2 linked regions of the Saccharomyces cerevisiae S288C genome follow. Changing the gene in region 2 together with the main gene of any one other region gives a genetic interaction. Each region holds a gene or a part of one and is shown on either strand. Other genes may lie near its edges.

The links.
Region 1: mutations in SNO4 (region 2) and SAM2 together harm fitness more than expected from each alone (negative genetic interaction), as found in Saccharomyces cerevisiae (one large-scale study listed by BioGRID).

What each region holds. Positions count from the first base shown.
Region 1 is NC_001136.10:1,449,040-1,461,203, forward strand, and holds SAM2 (methionine adenosyltransferase SAM2), read right to left. Parts: upstream 5,426-12,164; coding exon 4,271-5,425; downstream 1-4,270. Other genes in the region: LCD1 (Lcd1p), read left to right, coding at 1-1,034; 60S ribosomal protein eL37 RPL37B, read right to left, coding at 1,159-1,418, 1,808-1,814; PLM2 (Plm2p), read left to right, coding at 2,314-3,879; phosphatidate phosphatase LPP1, read right to left, coding at 6,003-6,827; SPG3 (Spg3p), read right to left, coding at 7,272-7,655; PSP1 (Psp1p), read right to left, coding at 7,656-10,181; GMC1 (putative oxidoreductase), read right to left, coding at 10,689-12,164. UniProt on the Saccharomyces cerevisiae protein: Catalyzes the formation of S-adenosylmethionine from methionine and ATP. The reaction comprises two steps that are both catalyzed by the same enzyme: formation of S-adenosylmethionine (AdoMet) and triphosphate, and subsequent hydrolysis of the triphosphate.
Region 2 is NC_001145.3:914,118-924,430, forward strand, and holds SNO4 (glutathione-independent methylglyoxalase family protein), read right to left. Parts: upstream 4,963-10,313; coding exon 4,249-4,962; downstream 1-4,248. Other genes in the region: FET4 (Fet4p), read right to left, coding at 1-421; YMR320W (uncharacterized protein), read left to right, coding at 2,629-2,934; YMR321C (uncharacterized protein), read right to left, coding at 3,462-3,779; phosphopyruvate hydratase ERR3, read left to right, coding at 5,971-7,284; seripauperin PAU19, read left to right, coding at 8,524-8,898. UniProt on the Saccharomyces cerevisiae protein: Catalyzes the conversion of methylglyoxal (MG) to D-lactate in a single glutathione (GSH)-independent step. May play a role in detoxifying endogenously produced glyoxals. Involved in protection against reactive oxygen species (ROS).

The sequences.
Region 1 (12,164 bases), on a different chromosome or scaffold from region 2:
AACTAGCACTAACCATTTCATACAAGCCAATGGTAAATGTAATATTTAGTGCAGTCGAGGTCGTTAATATTATCACTAGTATAATATTAAATATGGACAATTCCTCAGATCTGAAATCCTTGATAAGCGGTAGTTGGTGGAGAGATTGTATTACAAGATTATACGCTCTTTTGGAAAAGGAAATTAAGAGTGGCGACGTATATAATGAAAATGTGGATACTACAACTCTTCATATGTCGAAGTACCATGACTTTTTTGGGTTAATCCGAAATATAGGTGATAATGAATTGGGAGGATTGATATCAAAGCTGATTTATACTGACCGATTGCAAAGTGTCCCAAGGGTAATTTCTAAAGAGGATATTGGGATGGATAGCGACAAATTCACTGCCCCTATAATAGGTTACAAGATGGAAAAATGGCTTTTGAAGTTAAAAGATGAAGTTTTAAATATTTTTGAAAATTTATTAATGATCTATGGAGACGATGCGACCATAGTAAATGGAGAAATGCTCATCCACTCCTCTAAATTCTTATCCAGGGAGCAAGCGTTAATGATAGAAAGGTACGTGGGACAAGACTCCCCGAACTTGGACCTCAGATGCCATCTTATTGAACATACTTTAACCATAATATATAGGCTATGGAAAGACCATTTCAAACAATTGCGTGAAGAACAAATCAAGCAGGTAGAAAGCCAATTGATTATGTCACTATGGAGGTTTCTCGTATGCCAAACCGAAACTGTGACAGCAAACGAAAGAGAAATGAGAGATCATCGACACCTTGTAGATAGTTTGCATGATCTGACGATAAAGGATCAAGCCTCTTATTACGAAGATGCCTTTGAGGATTTACCAGAATATATCGAAGAAGAATTGAAGATGCAATTGAATAAAAGAACGGGGAGAATAATGCAAGTAAAGTACGATGAGAAATTTCAAGAAATGGCAAGAACTATTCTTGAGTCAAAATCATTCGATCTAACCACACTAGAGGAGGCCGATTCATTATATATCTCAATGGGACTGTAAGGCAACAATCAAAAGGGGAAAATGTCAACGCTTTATAGAAACCTTGTAATGCTTAATATTAACTATATATAATTTATATTATTTTCGTTTTAGGAAAGAACAAAACTTATAGATAATATCAAATTTAAGCAGAAGTAGCCTTAGCAGAACCGGTTTGGAAACCGTTCTTAAATCTTCTGGAGACATGCTTCAAATATCTCATTCTACCGGTACCAGTAGTGTGTCTTCTCTTTGCCTTGGCAGCCCAGTTGTGAGATCTAGTCTTAGCGGATGGGTAACCACAAGAGGAACAGGTCTTCTTTTGAACATGGAAAGAACGACGACCACATCTGTTACACAAGGTGTGAGATTTGTTGTGACGCTTACCGAATGAAGGAGTACCCTCTGTTTAAAATGAAAACATAAAAGTTAATTATCGTTAGTAAAACTTTGAACTAAATAAACTCTACTGCTGGATTCAGAACAACTTCATTGGCGGTCTAGATGTGTGTTGCTGTCTTACACTATTTCTTCTCACCTTTTTGTATTGACACTCAAATCTTTTTATTCGCTCTTTATGCATCCGTTATGTGCAATTTCTTATCATCAATGGCTCTGGCAACATTCATCATTCTATATTTTTAAATCTTTTGGCATAGTGAATAACGTAGGTCTTAGTTTACCTGGCCTCTCCTGGTGGAAAATTTTTTCAGTGCTTCTTTCTCATGTAATCCTCTAAATCAGACCGGATGTGATTGAACGTTGACTCATCAATTAATAATTCCTGTACATACTACCCATCTTTACTTATATATTCGTTTACCTCTTTGTTCTTTATCTACACATAGTAGTGCTTTTTGTTACCGCTTTCTATAGTAACCTATGCTTACTATTCCAGCCATGTTTCCAATCTCATCCTTCCCGCAAGTGGCAGGAAGATTCTCAGTGATAATATTAGTGGTGTACGGAGTGCTTGAAGAAAAAAAAAACTGATATAGAACCCAAAAATGTTCGGCTTTTAAAATACAAATATGTACAGGTGTTAATGTCTAAATAATGATAATCCAAACGCGATAATTTTTTTTTCGCGTTTGTTTTTGTTTCAGAAGAATAAGTAAACACTTCTGCCTCTCCCAAGAAAGTTTAATTTCTCTCCTTATTTGCCGTTTCTATCGTTACTAGCAACGGGGAACAATATATAGAAGCGTTTTTTTTTTTGGTATACTATTTACACAATATTTGCCGATTTCATTAGTCTTTTCGCTAGAAGTTTCACGACAAAATCGTCACAATTTTGGTTATGTCCCATCTCTTCCCACCATCATCACCAGTTGCTGGTAAACCTTTGGAAAGCCCACAAAAAGAACCTGGTAAGCTTGCTAATACTTCTGTATTGACCTTAGGAAGAAAACGGTATAATTACGAATTGGAAGAGTATCCTACTCCAGACCCGTCGTCTAGCATCGGAAGACAATCTTCACCAGTGAAAGATATCACTTCACGTTTAAATGAGACCAAATCTGCCTTGTCATCTCCTTCAAAGCAAGAAAAGGTGCTTGCAGGCCCTATCGAGATTGAATTAGATGCATCGGATCCCTCACGTTTAGCCATCGGTAGGAAAAAATCAGTCTGCAACATTATTTTGCCATGCAGAAAGAATATCTCTAGGCAGCACGCTTTTATTTCATACGCCGCCGACAGAAATGAAATAAAATTGGAATGTAATGGAACTAATGGGTTGTCCGTTCACTTGCCTTACTCCATGCAGTTGCATTTGGTAAAACCCTTCCCAACAAGGAACTTTTATAAACTAGTGGCAGAAGAGCCTTTGACCTCGCAAAATACTAAACAATCGCATGGAAAAACTCTTCAAAAGAACCAAAACTTCATCAGCTTTGTTTTGGCTAAAGGTGAAACTGTTACTTTCCCCTATATCCAAGGAAGTTTCATAAATTTTACAGGCGTCACAGTCTGTCTTTCATTGAAAAAAGTAGCACCTTATCCTGGCGATGGCAACAATAACTTTGACGAAGAGAACTCGACAGAAACGGAGGATGAGTTGTGTTTATTAACAACAACGAGCGATGATTTTTCTTGGCAAAAAGAAACACCTTCGATGAAATTTGTCCCAGTTGAGCATTCACCTCGTACAGAACAGATCTCAAAACCATTACTTATTGCATCTCCTGCTCTTGTGAAAAACTCCCCCATTAGTTATAGAACAACACCCCAAACATCTTTCGTTATTAATCAGCCATCAACTCCAAAGAAACTGAAGCGTAAATCAATTTCATTGAAAAATAACACTATACAAGAGACACCACTTCCTAAAGATAAAATAATTGGGACATTAAGTGCCAGTACTAGGAGTGGTGGCATTAATGAAGAAGAATCTTTCGCAGCAGTTGCAAAAAAAACTAAAGAGCTGTCTTCTACAACCGCGATTGTATCTCCTGCACAAAAACGTCTTAAGACTTCATTGAATATTATTCCCGAAATTTCTCGGTCGCTCTCAGAAAGAGGAATTCGGTTTGATGACCTAGTTCATGTGCTATGTAATCATCTTGCATTTTCTAACCTTCAACAAACGCCTTTATCCCAATTGCAAAACATCAATTCCAACACTTCACAATTAAGCAAAGATGAACTAAAAAAGGTCTTGGAGACTATTTCTTGCATTGGTATTATTGTGCGTGAAGGAAAAGATGCGTCTGGCAAGCCATTAGAAGACGAGTATTACTATGATGTTGAAAACGATGATAGCGACGAGAGAAAGATTTTGTATAATTCGTTAAAAGGCAGGAGCCGATTAAGGTCGTGCAGGAAGAAACATAAACAGTATTTCTGGAAGAGGCCGACCAAATAACCTCAAAGACATTCTATATTTCAACCTTATTTCCATAGCATAGTCATATTACCACGTGGAGCATCATGAAAAAAACTGGTAAAACTCGTCAAAAAGTTCTAAAAACATAAAGTAATATTTTCTATATATTTCCGTTGAAGGAGCTAATACATAATCCATACAAAATAGATCATTATGCCTAGATGTTATTCTATTGGTGTTTGTCAAGTTTAAGAATGTTTAAAACTTTTCTATTGTATCATTTTCTAGTAATTACATGACTCGAGTTGAGCGAATCAAACGATAAGGCATCGTCTTCTCAATATAGGGAGGTGATCGGGACCAGCCTAGCATAAAGAAAGGGATTGAAATAATTATAAAAATCAAAATAAAACATTTATTGTCTAAATGTTTAAAATTCCAATTTCTTTGGTTTTTCCCATGAGTACTCTTGATTAGTGAAGTGACCATAAGAAGCGGTTGGTAAGTAAATTGGTCTAGCCAAATCTAATTCCTTTACTAACACACCTGGTCTCAAGTCGAAGTTCTTCTTAATAATTTCAATGATTTCGTCATCTGATTTTGTAGCTGTACCATAGGTGTCCACATGTAAAGACAATGGTTCAGCAATACCAATAGCATATGAAAATTGGACTTGGACTCTCTTACACAAACCAGCGGCAACTAGAGACTTGGCAACCCATCTAGCAGCGTAAGCAGCGGAACGATCGACCTTGGAATAGTCCTTACCGGAGAAGGCACCACCACCGACGGATGAGGCACCACCGTAAGCGTCGACAATAATCTTTCTACCGGTCAAACCAGCGTCACCTTGAGGACCACCGATGACGAATCTACCGGATGGTTGGATGAAATATTTGGTATTTTCGTCTAACATATCCTTTGGTATGACCTTTTCAACAATATCTTTTTGAAGTTGAGTTCTCAAGTCAGCGGTGGAAATTTCATCAGCATGTTGAGCAGAAATAACAACGGTATCTATCCTCTTTGGAACCCATCTACCATTGTCGTCTTCGTATTCGACAGTGACTTGAGTCTTTGTGTCTGGTCTCAACCATGGGAGAGAACCATCTCTTCTAGCATCTGCCATAGCCATGTTCAATTTGTGAGCCAAAAGAATGGTCAATGGTAACCCTTCTGGAGTTTCGTCTGTAGCGTAACCAAACATTATACCTTGGTCACCAGCACCTAAGTCTTCTAAGCTCTTTTCATAGTGCAGACCTTGAGCGATATCTGGAGATTGTTGTTCGATAGCTACTAAAACATTACATGTCTTGTAGTCGAAACCCTTGGCAGAATCGTCATAACCAATCTTCTTGATGGTATCTCTTACTATTTGTTGGTAGTCAAGTCTAGCTTTGGTGGTAATTTCACCGAAAACCATAATCATACCAGTTTTGGCAGCTGTTTCACAGGCAACCTTGGAGAATGGATCTTGTTCTAAACAAGCGTCCAAAATAGCATCAGAAACTTGGTCACAAATCTTGTCTGGGTGACCTTCACCGACGGATTCAGAGGTAAATAAGAAAGTTTTGCTCTTGGACATGATTATGTTTGTATATTGTCGTAAATACTGGATATATTGAAGACAGTTATGTTTTTTAAACCTTTTAAAAAAAGAAAAAAGGGGCAGAAGCAAGATTCTCGAAAATACTTTGTAGAAAGGACAGATATAACCTCCTTCTTATACGCCTCAAGACGACAGATGACTACCAAAAAGAAATCAAGATCTCCTTGCATATGAAGATTTGACGTCGTTTACAAGAGCTATCTCAGAAATTTCATCGGTATTTTGGCTTCGGTTAATATCTGGCGTGGACCCATCGGTGGAAAAACGCCACAGTTTTCAAGCTCAATTATAGTCACGTGGGTAGAAATATTACACTGCACCGCAAGAAAGTACGACCAGATGAATCACATGTGAAGATGTTAACAAGTTTACATACTTTTTGATCAGGTAAGCTATGCATAATGTCTTAGTTTTAGTTATGTAAAGAAATGCAAACTTTTAGTGCATATTTTATCTTATATAATAGAGCAAAGCTCGCCAGTGCTCCAGTTGTTACCTGAGAATGAAGCTTGATCGGCTTTTATTCTTTCCTGATAGGACTCTGTAAGTGTTACTAAACACTAACCGGTGAAGGAAGTATGTCTCTTTTCGCCAAGTTTGTAAATGTCCATTTCCAGCAACAATAAATGACTAAAAATGCTAGAACAGCTCCAGAGACAACATCGTACCAATGATGTCTGTGATCGATAACCCTTGAAACCATTACTACTAGAGCTAATAAAGGGCACCAAATGCAACTTCTTGTATTGCGTGTGGTGAAAACCCTTTGCCAAAGATATGTAAAGCCCATGGTACTGACTATGAAACTTGAATGTCCGCTTGGAGTGCTTTTTAAGCCTTCGTATAGAATCCATTTGTTAGTCTGCTTGCAAATGTCCAAGCCAAAAACCAAAGAATCTGAATCACTCATCTTTTGGAGGTCAGGTATACATCTATCAACAAAGTCAGGCCTCAAGTTTCCTATAATCAACTTTAAGGCGCCTGTTAGGGCAGCATTTATGCTTATAATCAGCATCAGACATAGAATGCTAGTATGCATGAAGTGAAAATCGTTCGAGATTCCGTCCGGCCTCTCTCTTAGTCTCTTTACTCTATTCTTCTTCAGTAAGTCCTTGTCAAACATGCAGGTCCAGAAGACGACCATGTTACTCAGTCCAACACTCAAAATCAAACATTCTAGTGGGCCCACGAGTTCGTTAGGTACATAACGTTTTGATATACTGGGGTCATCAAGACTAAATTCGATGTTTTGGCCCCTAGGTACCAGGGATATCTCCGAATAGAGGAATAATATCGTACATAGACCAATTATCATGTACTGAAAGTAGTATAGCTTAAAATACTCCTTATGTTTCTCATCCGCCATGACAGAGATCATCCTTGGTAGAATATGACGAGTTTCCTTAGGCGTTGATGTAGGAGTTTCTCACTCTTGAAAGCAGTAAAATCACTTCAAAGAATGGCTTTCTTTCTTCCCTTAAAGACTATAAGTTGTCAGGTTTCACGTGGCAACTACAAGAAAAAAAATTCTTACGCGTGAACCAAAACAAAAATTATCAACCAATACATGTCGACAAATAATGAATTAGAGCAATAGCCACGATAACAGACCTTGATTAAATGTAAACTACATATAAGTTTATAAGGGTTGGTTGATTCCATTATTTTTTGTTTTTTATATAAAGCCTATGAAAAATAAATGGAAGCGGCTGTTAGAATATAAAATAGAAGTTGAAACAACAAAAATGTAAGAAAGTTGCCAACAATAAATCTCAAACTTGAAAGTGTGGATCGAGGAATATGGACAATCTTTAAAAAATTTTTAGTCCCGTAGTTTTTCGAATTTTTCCTTACCAGTGACCATGAAACCATGATTGGGAGACGTATAAGTAATTTTTATCAAAGTTAAACAGAATAATGAACATTTTCTTCTATTTCTCCCTGTGAAGTTTTCATATAGAAAAAAACATAAGGGAAAGAAAATATTGATAATAGAAAGATAGTACCAAATTGAATTGGCAGGAAAATAGGTAAACAACGAACAGAAACGATAAAACAAAATAACATAAAAAAAGTAGACAAAAATAAAAACAAAAACAAAAACAAACAAAAACAAAAACAATGAAAAAATGTTAACAAAATAATGGCAAATGGTTGTCTTTTCTTTTAGAAAATTTATAGTTACAACAAGGAAATAACAGATCATTTAATGAAATAATTCGTGAACTAATTCTTCATACACAGCAATCTGAAAGTTGTCGAGTTCAATTTCGTTCAACGGAGGTGCAAAATTAACTCTGTTATTCCCCCTGTTCTGCGAAAACTCATTGACATTCATTAAATCTTCAGCATTGTAATTTTTTACTATGTTTTGATATAATTTCAGCTCTTTTTGTTGTTTATCATAATACTTAGAATCAATAGACAGATTATTCGGGATGGCACACAACCAAATTCTTGTCTTGTAATATTTGAACAGCTCTTTTATCAAGTCTCTAAAATCATTTCTCTCCTCACAAACGTAGTAAAACGTTAATTTCTTTCTATCAAATTGGAATTCTGCGTTTAAAATCTTGATATTCAATTTAGGCTTTGAATAAGTTGCAGCATTCGTAAAATTATTGGAAGAACTGTCATTTGTATTTTGAGATTTTGAATTATCATTTAACGCTTGTAATTTACTCTGAGCAATATGCAAGGCTTTTAATTCATCTTCAAATTTATTGTGCAAATTCGTTGTTACCTCCCACGGGGTGGCAAAACGTAAGACTTGTTTAGATGGTATGATTAACTCAGTTAATTCAACAACATCATACAATTTGGGATTTAATTTTTTCTTTTGCCCATTTTTTGAGTCAATCAACATTTGAATAAACTCATCATTGCGATAGTGCTGTGACTCACTTGTAATTAAAGAGTCAAAGTGAATTTTCTTTTTCAGAAAATTTATAAATAATGCTAAATTCAAATCGACAGAGGGCTCAACAACCAATACTAAATCCCTTCCACGGTCACCATCAATAATAACCAAGTCACCTCTCTTTAACAACAAATTGGTAGCTTGTGGAGTAGATAGTAGTTCAAGTTTCCCATTTTTCAAAGCAACCAGTACCAATGGTGTATAAGGTAAAAAGGAGTTATTAGCATTCCTGCATGATAGTTCTGTTGTGAAAGAGCCCTTCCTCCTATTTTTATTGCCTCCATTATTGGAAACAATTCCATTATTCGACTCTGGATCATTAACGTAATTCATGTTGCAACTTCTTAAAATGTCCAAGAAATTTAATAAAGATTGGTATGTATTACCTTCTTCATCGATTAAGCCCATGTTCTTCGCGTCGTAACTTTCATTAGAATCGTGCAACTTCAGCATTTTCTTAATATTATCTGTGAATTCAAAAACTGCAGAGCTAGCAAAATAGCCGCTGCCACAGTCGCTGTATAAATCGTGTAAGGTTTTGGACGAAGTCAAGTGTTTACCCTGAATTAAAACTAAACCATTGTCCAAAGATACATTTCCTTCATTGCTGTTCTCGTTCTGAAGGTTATGTGAGTTTGTAGAAGAAGGGACAGAACTGCTTCTTTGAAGTTGAACAAGCTGAACATCATCAACACGTTCGCCATTGAAAGAAGTAGGTACATTAACGTTTCTTGGTTGTTGTGGTTGTTGTGGTTGTTGCTGTTGTTGTTGAAAAGTAGGAAGGGATGGATTGAAGCTCGCTACCGGTTGTGTATTCCGGCGAAACTGTTGCATTGGAACCATATTGTGACTGTTGTTGTTGTTATTACTATTGCTGATACTGGCATTATTAGGCTCGTTATCATAAGGATACGGAGGTTGTACACCATTTCCAAACTCGGGCACACCTTTGGCGGTCAAATGGGTTGAGTTCAAGTTGTCATAGTTGAATCTGCTATTGAAAAGATTGAAACCTTGAGCGTGTTGCTGCTGCACTTGGGATGTTTGCTTTTGCCGAGCGTCAGGCATTTGATGGTTGATTAGAGTATCTGATATGTAGGAGGATCTCCTAATGGTAGACTCTGGATGAGATGGCTGTTGCCAATTAAATGATGGTACTTGTTGGTTGTTCATACTAGATGGGTTGCCAGCACTGTGTGATGGGGCAGCAAAATTGCTGCCGCTATTGGAAGTAAAACCTATGTTTGTTTTATTCATTAAACGCATGTAGTCTGAATCCATCCGATTCCCCATTAGGTCGTTTCCATTTGAATGAAATGAATTTCCATTAAATTGCGGGAACGACCGTTGTTGAGCTTGATAATTACCCATTTGAGTAGAGTTTAAATTATTGTTATTGGATGAAATGGGCGGTGCGGACATCGGCTCTGAATTAGACGAAGACATTTGAAAAGAGGTCAAATTACTGGAAGGGTGTTCTTGAATGAACCCGTTCTGGTGAGAAAACGGTTGCTGTTGTTGATTTGGCACTGGTGGCAAATACGGAAACCTACCCATAAAATCAATATCGTCAAAAGTCCTCCTGTTTTCCATACCATTTCCCGCACTTTTTATTGAGTTTCTCAAATTATTCAGGCCAGCAAGCGGATCAACCGTATCACTTCCTGAATTATTGGAGTTATCATTCAGTTTACGGGGTAAATCGGATAGCGATTTTCCGCTGTTATTCTTGAAAAGCAAGTCCTCATAGTAGTTCTTTAAATCCACATTGTCGGAAATGCTTGTTGTGCTATTAACAGTTGGGAGGTCCATTTTGCAACTGTATTTCTATTGAGCACTGTATCAGACACCGCTTTTTTTGATTTATCCTTCGTTTTTTTCTCTATAATTCTCTTGAGCCTTTCAATACACTTTATTCTTTTCTATATACGCTGTTTACTATATCAAAGAACACTCGAACTGATGCTATCTCTGTTTCTAACTGCCGAACCAATGAAAAATACAGCTCTTAATTATCAGTGAATCCTTCTTCTTATCCTTTATTTATTTTTGTTTTGTTCCTTTAGCTAAAACACGGATCCGTAATGTTATCCAACACGATTAGGGGAAGGATTCGTCTCCAAAAAACCGTTATGACCCAATCCTATATGACCTACGGCAGTCAGAGAAATACAGGTTTTCGCACTCGGAGGCGATTGTCGCCAATGGAAAGCTAGCCGATACTTTTTCCGTCAGCTTTGCGGGTTTTCTTTTTTGCGGCCTTGTAAACGGCTGTGGGAAAAGCGAAAAAAAGCAATGAGTTGGGAGAAATGGATGTGATTACATGAGCAACCAGTAGAAGATAGCATCAACCGCACACATGATTAGGATGTAGACGGCTATTACCTTGGACTTATTTTGTTCAAGTGCGGCTGTATGGACAACAGTGTTAGGGTCAGGTTCCTTGGTAGGGTACGATAATACAGCTGTAGTTGCTTGTTTGGTACTGTCCTCGGTTGTTGTCGGAACCTCAAAGACAATGCCAAGCCCCTTCATCATGTGCCACTCCACATGACAATGTAAAAGCCATTTTCCGGGCATCTCGGTGTTAATTCTCAAAACCGCGTAAGAATTTCCTGCAATGTTAATGCTATCCCTTACCATCGGTGCCTTTCCGGTTCGGGCCAGGTGACGTAAATCGTTCTGATAGCGGCTCCATGCCTTGCCCTCTTGTACGTCTTTGTGAAATGGGCCATCACCTTTATTGCCAAGAGATATTATCTGGAAGTGATGGCCATGCATATGCCATGGGTGTCTCATGTGGTCCAGTGAGTTGATTACAATATCATATGTTTCGTTGAATCCGAACCTTACCGGGTCTTTTACGTACTCGCTGAATGTCCGTTCGTTCACCTTATACATCCCAGTCCCATACTTTTGTTTCGTGCTTTCATCTTTGTAATAAGCATAATCGAATTCGAAAACTGCAACAGGATCAGCCTTTGTGCGTAACTTTTTATTCTCTTCTTGCGTTGGTTCTATGTCGCGATAAAGCTCGGCCTTAGTGAAACCAGGCAAGTGTTCGATGGAAACGTCATTGGGGTTCTTTGGTAGGTCCAAATGAGCGCCTTCTTTGTAAAACCACCACTGTTTTGTTATATAACCCATCATTTTGTTACAGCCATTAATCATACGAATAAAACTAGTGTCAGACTTTAGTTTGACCAAAATTGTATATCTTTGTCCGACCGCTAAATTTATCGTTTGTACAATGAACGGTTTAATCATAATCCCGTCGGCTTCTAGAACAATTAATTGGAATCCATCAAGGTGAAAGACTTGAGTACCAGACATTCCTGAGTTTACGATTCTCAAAAGAAGATACTCGGTGTTAAATCCTATTTTGATAGTTTCACCGTCAGATGATTTTCCATTTATTAATGATCCATCAAATTTGGGATCTGTACCCCCGGTAGATGACAAAACCTTGTCGTTTAAAATGTCCAAATTCCAATTGGTATACCAATCACTCAAAGTGATAATCCTTTCTTGAACTTCATAATCCGTCAATTCCTTCGTGTGTTTATCTTTTTTCATTGTAACAACACCGTCATCTAGTGTCTCTATGTCTCTCACAGAATTAATAGTATTTGCCACATGATTATCATAATCATCGCATTCAACTATCAGAACACCTCTCATACCGTCACCGTATTGTACTGATGAATGCGAATGGTACCAAAAAGTACCACAGGTTGATTGATCAATGGTAAAATTATACCAATAACTTTCTCCATATCCAATAGTGGGCTGTGT
Region 2 (10,313 bases):
GTGTGTCCCAAACATAACTTTGAATAGACTGTCCGTCCTGCATAACAACTTGCCAATTGAAAGGTGCGTTATAAACAATACCAATAACCACCCAAATTATGAGGATGATCCAAACAATAAAAAAAACCGCCTGCGAACCGGCCACTCGTACCAGGAAATCCAGGGTCTTATCTGTGAAACCTTTGCTTAACCCGGTAAAACCTTTACTCGTGAAGATTGCCCCTGTTTCTGTTAAATTCACATTACAAAGTTCGTCATCAGTACTCTCATCGCTATGGCTGACTACTCTGACCACATCATCATTTTTGTAATCGTTAGAATCACCGAATTCTTCGTACTGTTTGCAGTCAACAGTAGGTGCTCTATGATGAACGTCAGGCCTAGCACCTGGATTCCCGAGAAACTCTGCAATTTTACCCATAATTTGATTAACGAATGTTTAATAATAAGGGTCTTATTAGGTTTCTATATCTACCTTTTCCCTTCTTATATCTGATACTGTTTGACTTATGATAAAAGAAACTTACTTACCTATCAATTAATTCATGCCGTGTGAAGTATATTTATATAAACAAGTATTTCTAAATGAAGAGCATCGAATCAAGATGTGGTAGATGCTAAACTAATGGGTGCAATTAAGAAGGCTTCTACCAAGCAAGTTCAAGGCCAGTAGCATTATATAGTTTTTTTGTCTTTATTTTTTTTTTTGGTTTTTTTTTTTTTCGTTTGAGAAAAATGCTGCTTCCTAAAAAGACTCAGCAAAAATGCTCATGACCTAATCAGTTTCGAGAGCAACCCCACGGGTAGGAAAGAAAGAGGCGCCAACGTTAAAGGAAACTGCCCATATCTAATACATAACCGCACAAGCTCCAAGCTCATTCAACACCTGTGTGATTTACGCCCCAATAAGGCTCAAGATTCCTCAATATTTTGTCGTTGTTCGAGCCATGAAAACCTCAAATTACTGCTACAGGACCCTAGGGTCTCGCTAAAAAAATGACTACGCGCGCTTATATAATTACTCGAATAAGACAAAAGAAAAAAACCCTTGCGATATGTCGTAGACACGTAAAAATGGCCCATTTAGTGGTAGTCGCAAACTAGAGGGGTAAAAATAACCTGTCCAGTACTGAAAGTAATGCTAGGGAAATGCGAATGACCGTACGTACACCTTCGTACATGCAGGTATTTAGGGGGCTTATTGTTTATGAACAATAGCACTATGCCAGGTCAAACATATCATGTTCGCGCAGTCTCCTCGTGGGATATATAAAGTGAACAAAAAGTGCACCCGGTTTTCGGAACAACGCTCTTCGCAACAAGGCAAAAAAGAAAAATGGGACAACGTAATCGGAGAATACCCAAAGGACATTATAATCCAATCAACGTAGTAGTACGTATGGTTAGAACAGCAAGCACAGATATTTGCTCATATGCAAGGAAACTGGTGTGATTAGAATGCCTTAAACATGAGTCCAATGTATGCGAATAAGATGCTACGTTGAATAAGCAGATCAAAGAACTTTTGGTAGGAAAAGCTTCTTTTTTTAAAAGCGCACGTTTCTTTTTCTTTGTTGGACCTTCCATCAAAATCCTTAATACGTGCAGCGAAGCAGCAACGCATTGACAGTTCATACAGGAAAGAGGAACAAATATTTTGAGCTGCTTGTCCCAGGAATCTAGGTGCTTACGTATCTTTTATTTTATTTAAATGTATGATCTTACCCACGATAATGGTCTTAGTACTTTAGTTTGGCAATGATGGAACCGGAGGACAACGGACAAAAGTTAGGGTATCTTTACTCTGTCACTGCGTATTTTTTGAAATACACTATTTTTACAAGGAGTTAAGCATAACAAGCACGTGCTGCAGATGTTTTCATTTAGTGAGTGAAGATCTTTATTCAAGTAATTCATCTTCATCCGTATAACTTCTTAGTAAAGCGACAAGGTCTGATGGCCGAATTTTTTTAATTTTGGCCATCGTATTAAAATGAACACTCTAAAGCCGAAATGAGAAAGATCTCGCTAATAGTAGGTTAGGACTCAATGGCTAGGTTATATTTTTGCCTTCGTGAGAGTAATTTACGTCGAGTAATGTCGCCTGACATCCATATCCCTTTGTTATTCTTCATTAAATGTCACTACAAATTCTGTCCTTACTGAAGTAAAGAATATTTGAAAATACTACACTGATCTTTAATTACTGATCTACAATAACACACAGTGTTGAAGGATAATTCCAAGACTCTCACCTGCGACTGGTCGTGTTAGGAAACCAAACTGAAATATGCTAAATTTCGAGTGAAACCTACCGGAATCGGTACATCTCCAGAGGATTTTAAGTGAAGATTTAACATCGTATAACAAGCATGCATAACTTGTCACTGGGATAAAGAGAAGGTACTAAATTTTCGTAGGCGACAATTTTCCATCTCATAGAGTACTCGAAGAAAAACATAAACACTATTAAAAATAGCTCCTAGTAAAGGCTTTTTGGATTCTAATTCAAGTTTACAAATACCTACCAACAACATTCTTGATATTGTAATCTGCTCTGAAGTAGATACCCTAACGGGATTGTTAAGTCAGGGAGCAGCGTAACGACATTCACGAAAAGCTCTAAAAATGCGTAGATTTGGAAAGCCATGTATTGTTTCACATGAAATTTCGGCCAGGCCTCACATATTACAGCCTTGTAATTATAAGATGGTGCTGAGTTGTAAGGTAAAAAAACCCATTGAGTTATTGCACCTTCAAGAGTTAATACTTTACACTTTTATGAAAATTTGCCTTCACGTAAACTTGATCCAGCAAAACATCAATAAGTTGTCATATATTTCTCGAAAATATCCAAGGGCACCTGCTTTTATCAGCTGCGACAATAGAGCCACGGAGCCAACAAAAAAAGGCTTTTTAGTTTGCCGCATGTAATGATTGGCGAATAATTTTTCAAGGTTATGATTGTTCTTGGGAACACAGATCACGGAATCCTTTTGCCAATAATACATTAGATGGAATATTTGGATACAACTTTCGAATATAACGCCTTTTGAGCTAGCAATATCGACTGTATGGGAATATAAAAGTTAATTTTAGGCAATTTAATTAATCGTGACTGGTCGGAGAAGGCGAGATTGTAGCTCCACCATGTGAGGATTATTGGCAAAGGTTTAGATCCGGTGGAGATTTATCTTCTTTTACCCCATCTTACTTGTGCACTCTCCCAAATTCCCATCTGATGAACTGTTAGTTGATTCCTTTAGATTATAAAACATATGATGTTTACTCTGTTTTTTGTCGGCGAAGTACGGAAAAGCATTTGTGACTCTAAAAAAACATGGCAAGGATAATTAATTAACAATACTTCTTGTGCTGTTTATAAAATGTATTTAGTGTAACATGCTGCTTCCTAGCATATGTATAATGTTAAGAATTTTCCAGTTTCTTTAAAAAGGCATTTACGTGTATTTCTTGACGGCTGCAGAAATCTCTTGGATGTCTTTTGGACTTGTTCTGCAACAACCACCAATGATACGGGCACCGCTGCTAATGTACTGTTTAACAACCGTATCCCAACTGTTCAGCTTATCGCTATTTGGCAACCATATCTTCTTTTCAGTATCATAAACTTCACCACTGTTTGGATAAGCAAGCAAGGCCATATTTGGCAGTGCTTGATGTAGAGACTCAAGAATGTCGGGTGATTGGTTGAAGCTGACGCAGTTGATTCCTAAGAACGAGAGGTTAGGATTTATTTTGTCGCCCAAGTCCATCATCTATTTACTACGAAACGATAAATTTCCCCGTTTTCTTTTACTTTTACTTCATTTAATATAATTCATATTTATTTCCCATGTACCAATTAATTACTCCTAAAAGAACAGAAATAGAAAAAAGTTGTATATAACAAGCCAAAAAAAAAAAAGAAAAAAGGAAACACAGCTTATTTCAAATTGCAATCTGCGTATTTCGTAAGTAACGAATGATCTCACAGCATTGCTTTTTTTTTTTTTTTTTTTATATATATGTACATTACCTATGTCACATATGACCATGATGAGTACAACACTAAAAACCAAGGCCTACTATTCAATTGTTCTCTATATGATTTCCATTCTAGCAAAATCGAGTGCTACCGATCTGCCGTTTTCTTTACCTTTCGAACCATTGAGCTGTTAGCCTTCTCTTCACAGAAACTGAAGGCCATTAGAAGCCTCCCCTTCAACAATTCCCTTGTCTTTTGTTTCAGCTATATAATGCGTTTATAGCTCTAATTGTGGTCGAATAGGAAGAATTTGCGTTAACACCCGTAACTAGCTTTCCATCGGTAATAGAGTAGTCATCCCAGGGATGAATTGGCGCCAAGTACTTGGCTCTATTCTTGTTTGCAACGCGTTCAACCGTTGTCAATTTTCTGCTCCTCAAGATGTCGTCAACTCCCAGGGCGATTTCACCCTCGAGTGGGAAACCTGTTATAGCTTTGCCTTCGATTAATGGTCTTGTTGTTTTGATATCTATTAATCCATCGAAAAGGAGCGGTCCATGACAGATGGCGGCGATCACACCCCCATTGGCATATATCTTGGATGCAATATCTTGCAGATTTTTAGCTTTGGGATAGTCAAATAGAGCACCATGTCCAGCAGATGCAAAGAATATTTTATAGTCGCTGGCGTTGACTTCATTTGCGGTCTTGATCCTCGCTAACGCCTTATTGAAGGCGGAATTTTTCGTTTCAAAGTTCATCTTATCTTCGCCACCAATAAAGCTCTTTGGCAAGTAATGTTCATCCCAGCCAAATCCACCAGTCTCAGAAACGAAGTCCACTTCGAAACCATGCTTTTCGAAAGTATCGAACGACCGCAAAATCTCAACTACAAAAACGCCTGTTTTCGCACCATCTTTATAGAAGGGACCGTGGTATGAAGTAAGAGATATTAGCGCTCTTTTTGGAGTCATTGCAAGGCCAGTTTTCTTTTTGAATGAAGGAGAAAAGTGTTCTAGAAATATGTTTTAGTTCTAAGTATCGTTGTCTGGAGCAAGCAAAGAAAAGCAGACCTGTATGTGCAACTTTCTTGTTTTCCATTAAAATCTCAAGAACCGGCCCCTTGACTGTGCTCATATATCAAGTATCGGTTTTAAAGTCCCCTAATTGTGATAATTGCAAGAATGACAGTCAAAAAGATATTTTTCTTTTCTTTCTTTTTACCTATCCTTCATGAAAATACCTATGCTGATACTGAATATCTTCATTTGCAGCTATGCAATATTTCAGATACTGCATTTTACCCAAGAGTTTCTTTACTGGTGGTTGGATTTTTTTTAAGACGAGAAGATTACCAGTCCTGGATGTTCATGAATGTGCCTATTGCGTCATCAGCGACTCCGCGCCAAGAAAAGAAATACTCGCATGCTCGGATTTATAGAATCGCATAATGGAAATAGCTTCCTTAAAGGATGGAGATAAGGAAAAAATGACAAGAACAAGGAAGTACTTGGGAGCTTTCTCCGACATGTTAAATATTTGAAACTCACGCAGCTCTCCTGGAAAGTTGCATCTGGAAAGGTAAGGTTGTTTTTTGTTCAGACATCAAAATCGGCTCTTGTAGACAATGTCACAGATCCACAAGTTGAAAAAAAAGTTTCGATGAACTGGATAAGGGGAGAGGTCACAAACAAAGTGTAGGGGGTGAGTAGTATAGTGGTAACTTGTTCATTTACCTAAATAACATTCTCACTAGAAAAGAGATATTGAAAGACTCCTCGTTTACCTAACTTGGCTGGTTCTTAGGTATATAATAGAAACATGGATCTGGCAGGTTATTACTTACAGTTTGCATTCCCACCAGGTAACAATTTTCATTATATATAGTTATTTTTTACCACCACTTCTTCTTCTTTCACTTTGTCTTGCAATAGAAATACCAAAACAAGGTGAGGAAAAAATCGAATCTCAACGATAAAAATATGTCCATCACGAAGGTACATGCTAGAACGGTGTATGATTCTCGCGGTAATCCGACTGTTGAGGTTGAAATTACAACAGAGAATGGTCTCTTCAGAGCGATCGTCCCATCTGGTGCCTCCACCGGCATTCACGAAGCTGTTGAACTTAGAGACGGGAACAAGTCCGAATGGATGGGAAAAGGGGTGACCAAGGCAGTCAGTAACGTCAATAGTATCATAGGGCCTGCTTTAATCAAGTCCGACTTATGTGTAACCAATCAGAAGGGCATAGACGAGCTCATGATATCGTTAGACGGAACTTCTAACAAGTCAAGGTTGGGCGCCAATGCTATCCTTGGTGTTTCCTTGTGCGTTGCTCGAGCTGCTGCCGCACAAAAGGGAATTACTCTCTACAAGTATATAGCCGAGTTAGCGGATGCTAGACAGGACCCCTTTGTTATTCCTGTTCCTTTTTTCAATGTTTTGAATGGTGGAGCCCACGCCGGTGGCTCTTTAGCTATGCAAGAATTCAAGATCGCGCCAGTCGGGGCTCAGAGCTTTGCAGAAGCCATGAGGATGGGTTCGGAGGTTTACCATCATTTGAAGATATTGGCGAAGGAGCAATATGGACCTTCCGCTGGAAATGTTGGTGACGAGGGTGGAGTCGCCCCCGATATCGACACTGCCGAGGACGCCTTGGACATGATTGTGAAAGCCATTAACATATGCGGTTACGAGGGTAGAGTGAAAGTAGGAATCGATAGTGCTCCTTCTGTTTTTTATAAGGACGGGAAATACGACCTAAATTTCAAGGAACCGAACTCTGACCCATCTCACTGGCTCAGTCCAGCTCAGTTAGCAGAATATTATCATTCATTGCTAAAGAAATACCCAATCATTTCCCTGGAAGACCCCTACGCCGAAGATGATTGGTCCTCGTGGTCTGCCTTCCTAAAGACTGTCAATGTTCAGATAATTGCAGATGACCTGACATGCACCAACAAGACCAGGATCGCCCGTGCTATAGAGGAGAAATGTGCGAATACTCTGTTGCTGAAACTCAACCAGATCGGTACTCTGACTGAGTCTATTGAAGCCGCCAATCAGGCTTTCGATGCTGGATGGGGTGTAATGATATCACATAGATCAGGTGAAACCGAAGATCCGTTTATCGCTGATTTGGTCGTTGGTTTAAGATGTGGTCAAATTAAATCGGGCGCTTTGTCGAGATCAGAAAGACTGGCCAAGTATAATGAACTTTTGCGTATCGAAGAGGAACTGGGGGACGATTGTATATATGCTGGTCATAGGTTTCATGATGGAAACAAACTATAAAGGATTGTCTTGTTTCCTTTTTTTTTTTTTTGTTTTTTTATGACTAAATAAAGTAAATCATATGAGGTTTTATTTTTTATTTCGTTGATTTGGGTTACAGTATGGAAATGGGGCATTTGACACAAGTTATTTTATTCATATGTTTTATCTTGTAGGAAATCAAACCGTTTTTAAAGTTTTCCATTGCCTACACACAAAATCATTACGAATCTGTCTGAACAAGGGTGGACGTGTGGGGGAAGGCTGTTCCAATCAAGAAATGCTTACAACTCTACTAACACTGCAGTTTTTCAGCTTTCTGATTAATCTCTTCGGTTTAAATTTTTTAGCAGCTATTACTTTCTAGTAACCCTTATAACGCGGTTGGTATCAAATCTTCCTGATAGTACAAGCAGACCTTTGACCCCATTCTTGTTGTGTCTTGAAATCTTTTTTTCTGACAAAAGTAAGAAGTTACACCATAATAGAGAAGTTAAATAATGAAAGTGTATCGATCATAGAAATGATTTCATTTTTTTCAACTACTGTTACGGTCAAGAAACTAATAATGAGGATAAGTTTTCGCAACAATGATTTTGGTGCAAGTGATTTAAAGTCTTGAATTACTTCAACACAATTTGCTTTGCGACGGTTTAGAATAACGTAATCGTATCAGCGAATCCACTAGGCGCGCGTAAAAATTACAGACTCTAACAATATACGACTCCCAGCACATATCTACTATTCTGTACAATTCCGGGAAATAGAGGGTACAGTATTATTTTTTCTCGGCGATCGTTTAGGGTATACTGGAGATAGGCTTAGCAATACGCTTCTGAACGAGGATCTATAGCAACTAAATTCAGACATTCTGCTACACCAAAAATGGAAGTATCACAGGAACGGAAAAGGGTTTTATAAGGCACCTCGGCACCCCTATAACTGGCATTCTCACATTCGGCGCATACGAATAGACAAAGGCCCCAGAAAACAATACCTTCGCATACAGAATCTATAAAGATGCATGCCTCGTTTAAAAACAAGAACATCTTCATAGTGATCATGAAATTGTGTGAAAGATGAGATATGTAATGCGTGAGGTACTAAATGAGGATATGTTAACGAATCGTTTAAGTGGTGATGACCAATGAAGGAATAGGTATAAATAGAGATACTTCAACTATATGCCTTTGAGAATATGTCTTTATTCCTTCCCTTCCTGTTAAGCTTATATCAGCACTAACAAACAAAACAAATACAATGGTCAAATTAACTTCAATCGCTGCCGGTGTTGCCGCCATCGCTGCCGGTGTTGCCGCTGCTCCAGCCACTACCACTCTATCTCCATCTGACGAAAGAGTCAACTTGGTCGAATTGGGTGTTTACGTCTCCGATATCAGAGCTCATTTGGCTCAATACTACTTGTTTCAAGCAGCTCATCCAACTGAGACCTACCCAGTTGAGATTGCTGAAGCTGTTTTCAACTATGGTGACTTCACCACCATGTTGACTGGTATTCCAGCTGAACAAGTCACCAGAGTCATCACTGGTGTCCCATGGTACTCCACTAGATTGAGACCAGCTATTTCCAGTGCTCTATCTAAGGACGGTATCTACACTGCTATTCCAAAATAGAGAGAAGCTTTTACGAACGAAATTCCATAGACAATAAAAAAGTAAAGAGAATGAAATAAAATATGTTATTCTATTGATATAAATACAATTCCTCATATGTAAATGTATATTAATATGACAACTCATTTTTGATCAATAACAGTGTTTGTGGAGCATTTTCTGAATACAATAAACCCAAAACAGAAACTTCCCTTTTGTATCACTGTTCTGGAAAAGGGGTGGGCGGTAATAAAGCTAATAGGGTGTGTCCATAAGTAATACTGAACTTGGAAATGTGCGGCTTTGCAGCATTTTGTCTTTCTATAAAAATGTGTCGTTCCTTTTTTTCATTTTTTGGCGCGTCGCCTCGGGGTCGTATAGAATATGCGTCACTTTTAAAAATAAGATTGCAGATCAGGGCAAAACAAGTAGCAAATCATAGCAAGAGACCCTGATTTTTGTGACATAAATATTTTTACTTCTGTGTTAGGTTAACTTTTTATGTAACTGTAAATGGAATAGAGTTGAGGGGATAGTGCCCACAAGTCAATATGTTTATTTTGTAAAGTTGAAAGATAATTATTTTTATGTTTAGGTGATTTTGGTGTTGAATTTTCTGTAATATTAACATAAGAGTAATACATTGAGTGGTTAGTATATGGTGTAAAAGTGGTATAACGCATGTATTAAGAGCAGTTATACAATATTTGGGGCCGCTGAATGAGATATAGATATTAAAATGTGGATAATCATGGGCTTTATGGGTAAATGGAACAGGGTATAGACCACTGAGGCAAGTGCCGTGCATAATGATATGAGTGCATCTAGTACTGATTTAGTGAGAGATGGGCCGTGGAGTGGAATGTGAGAGTAGGGTAAGTTGAGAGTGGTATATACTTGTAGCATCCGTGTGCGTATGCCATATCAGTATACAAGTGAAGGTGAGTATGGCAAGTGGTGGTGGGATTGGTATAAAGTGGTAGGGTAAGTATGTGTGTATTATTTACGATCATTTGTTAACGTTTCAATATGGTAGGTAGAAGAACAGTATGGTGAGTAGCAGATGGTGGATGGTAGAGGAATAGCAGGGTAAGTGGTAGTGGAGTTGGATATGGGTAATTGGAGGGTAACGGTTATGGTGCACGATGGGTTGGTGGTAGCAAGTAGAGAGATGGATGGTGGTTGGAGCGGTATGGTTGAAGGGGACAGGGTAACGAGTGGGGAGGTAGCGTAATGGAGGGTAAGTTAAGAGACATGCTAAATCAGGGTAAGAATAGGGTAGGGTTAGGGTAGGGTTAGGGTAGTGTTAGGGTGTGGGTGTGGTGTGTGTGTGTGGGTGTGGTGTGGGTGTGGGTGTGGTGTGTGGGTGTGGTGTGTGGGTGTGTGTGGGTGTGGTGTGGTGTGTGGGTGTGGTGTGGGTGTGGTGTGTGTGTGGG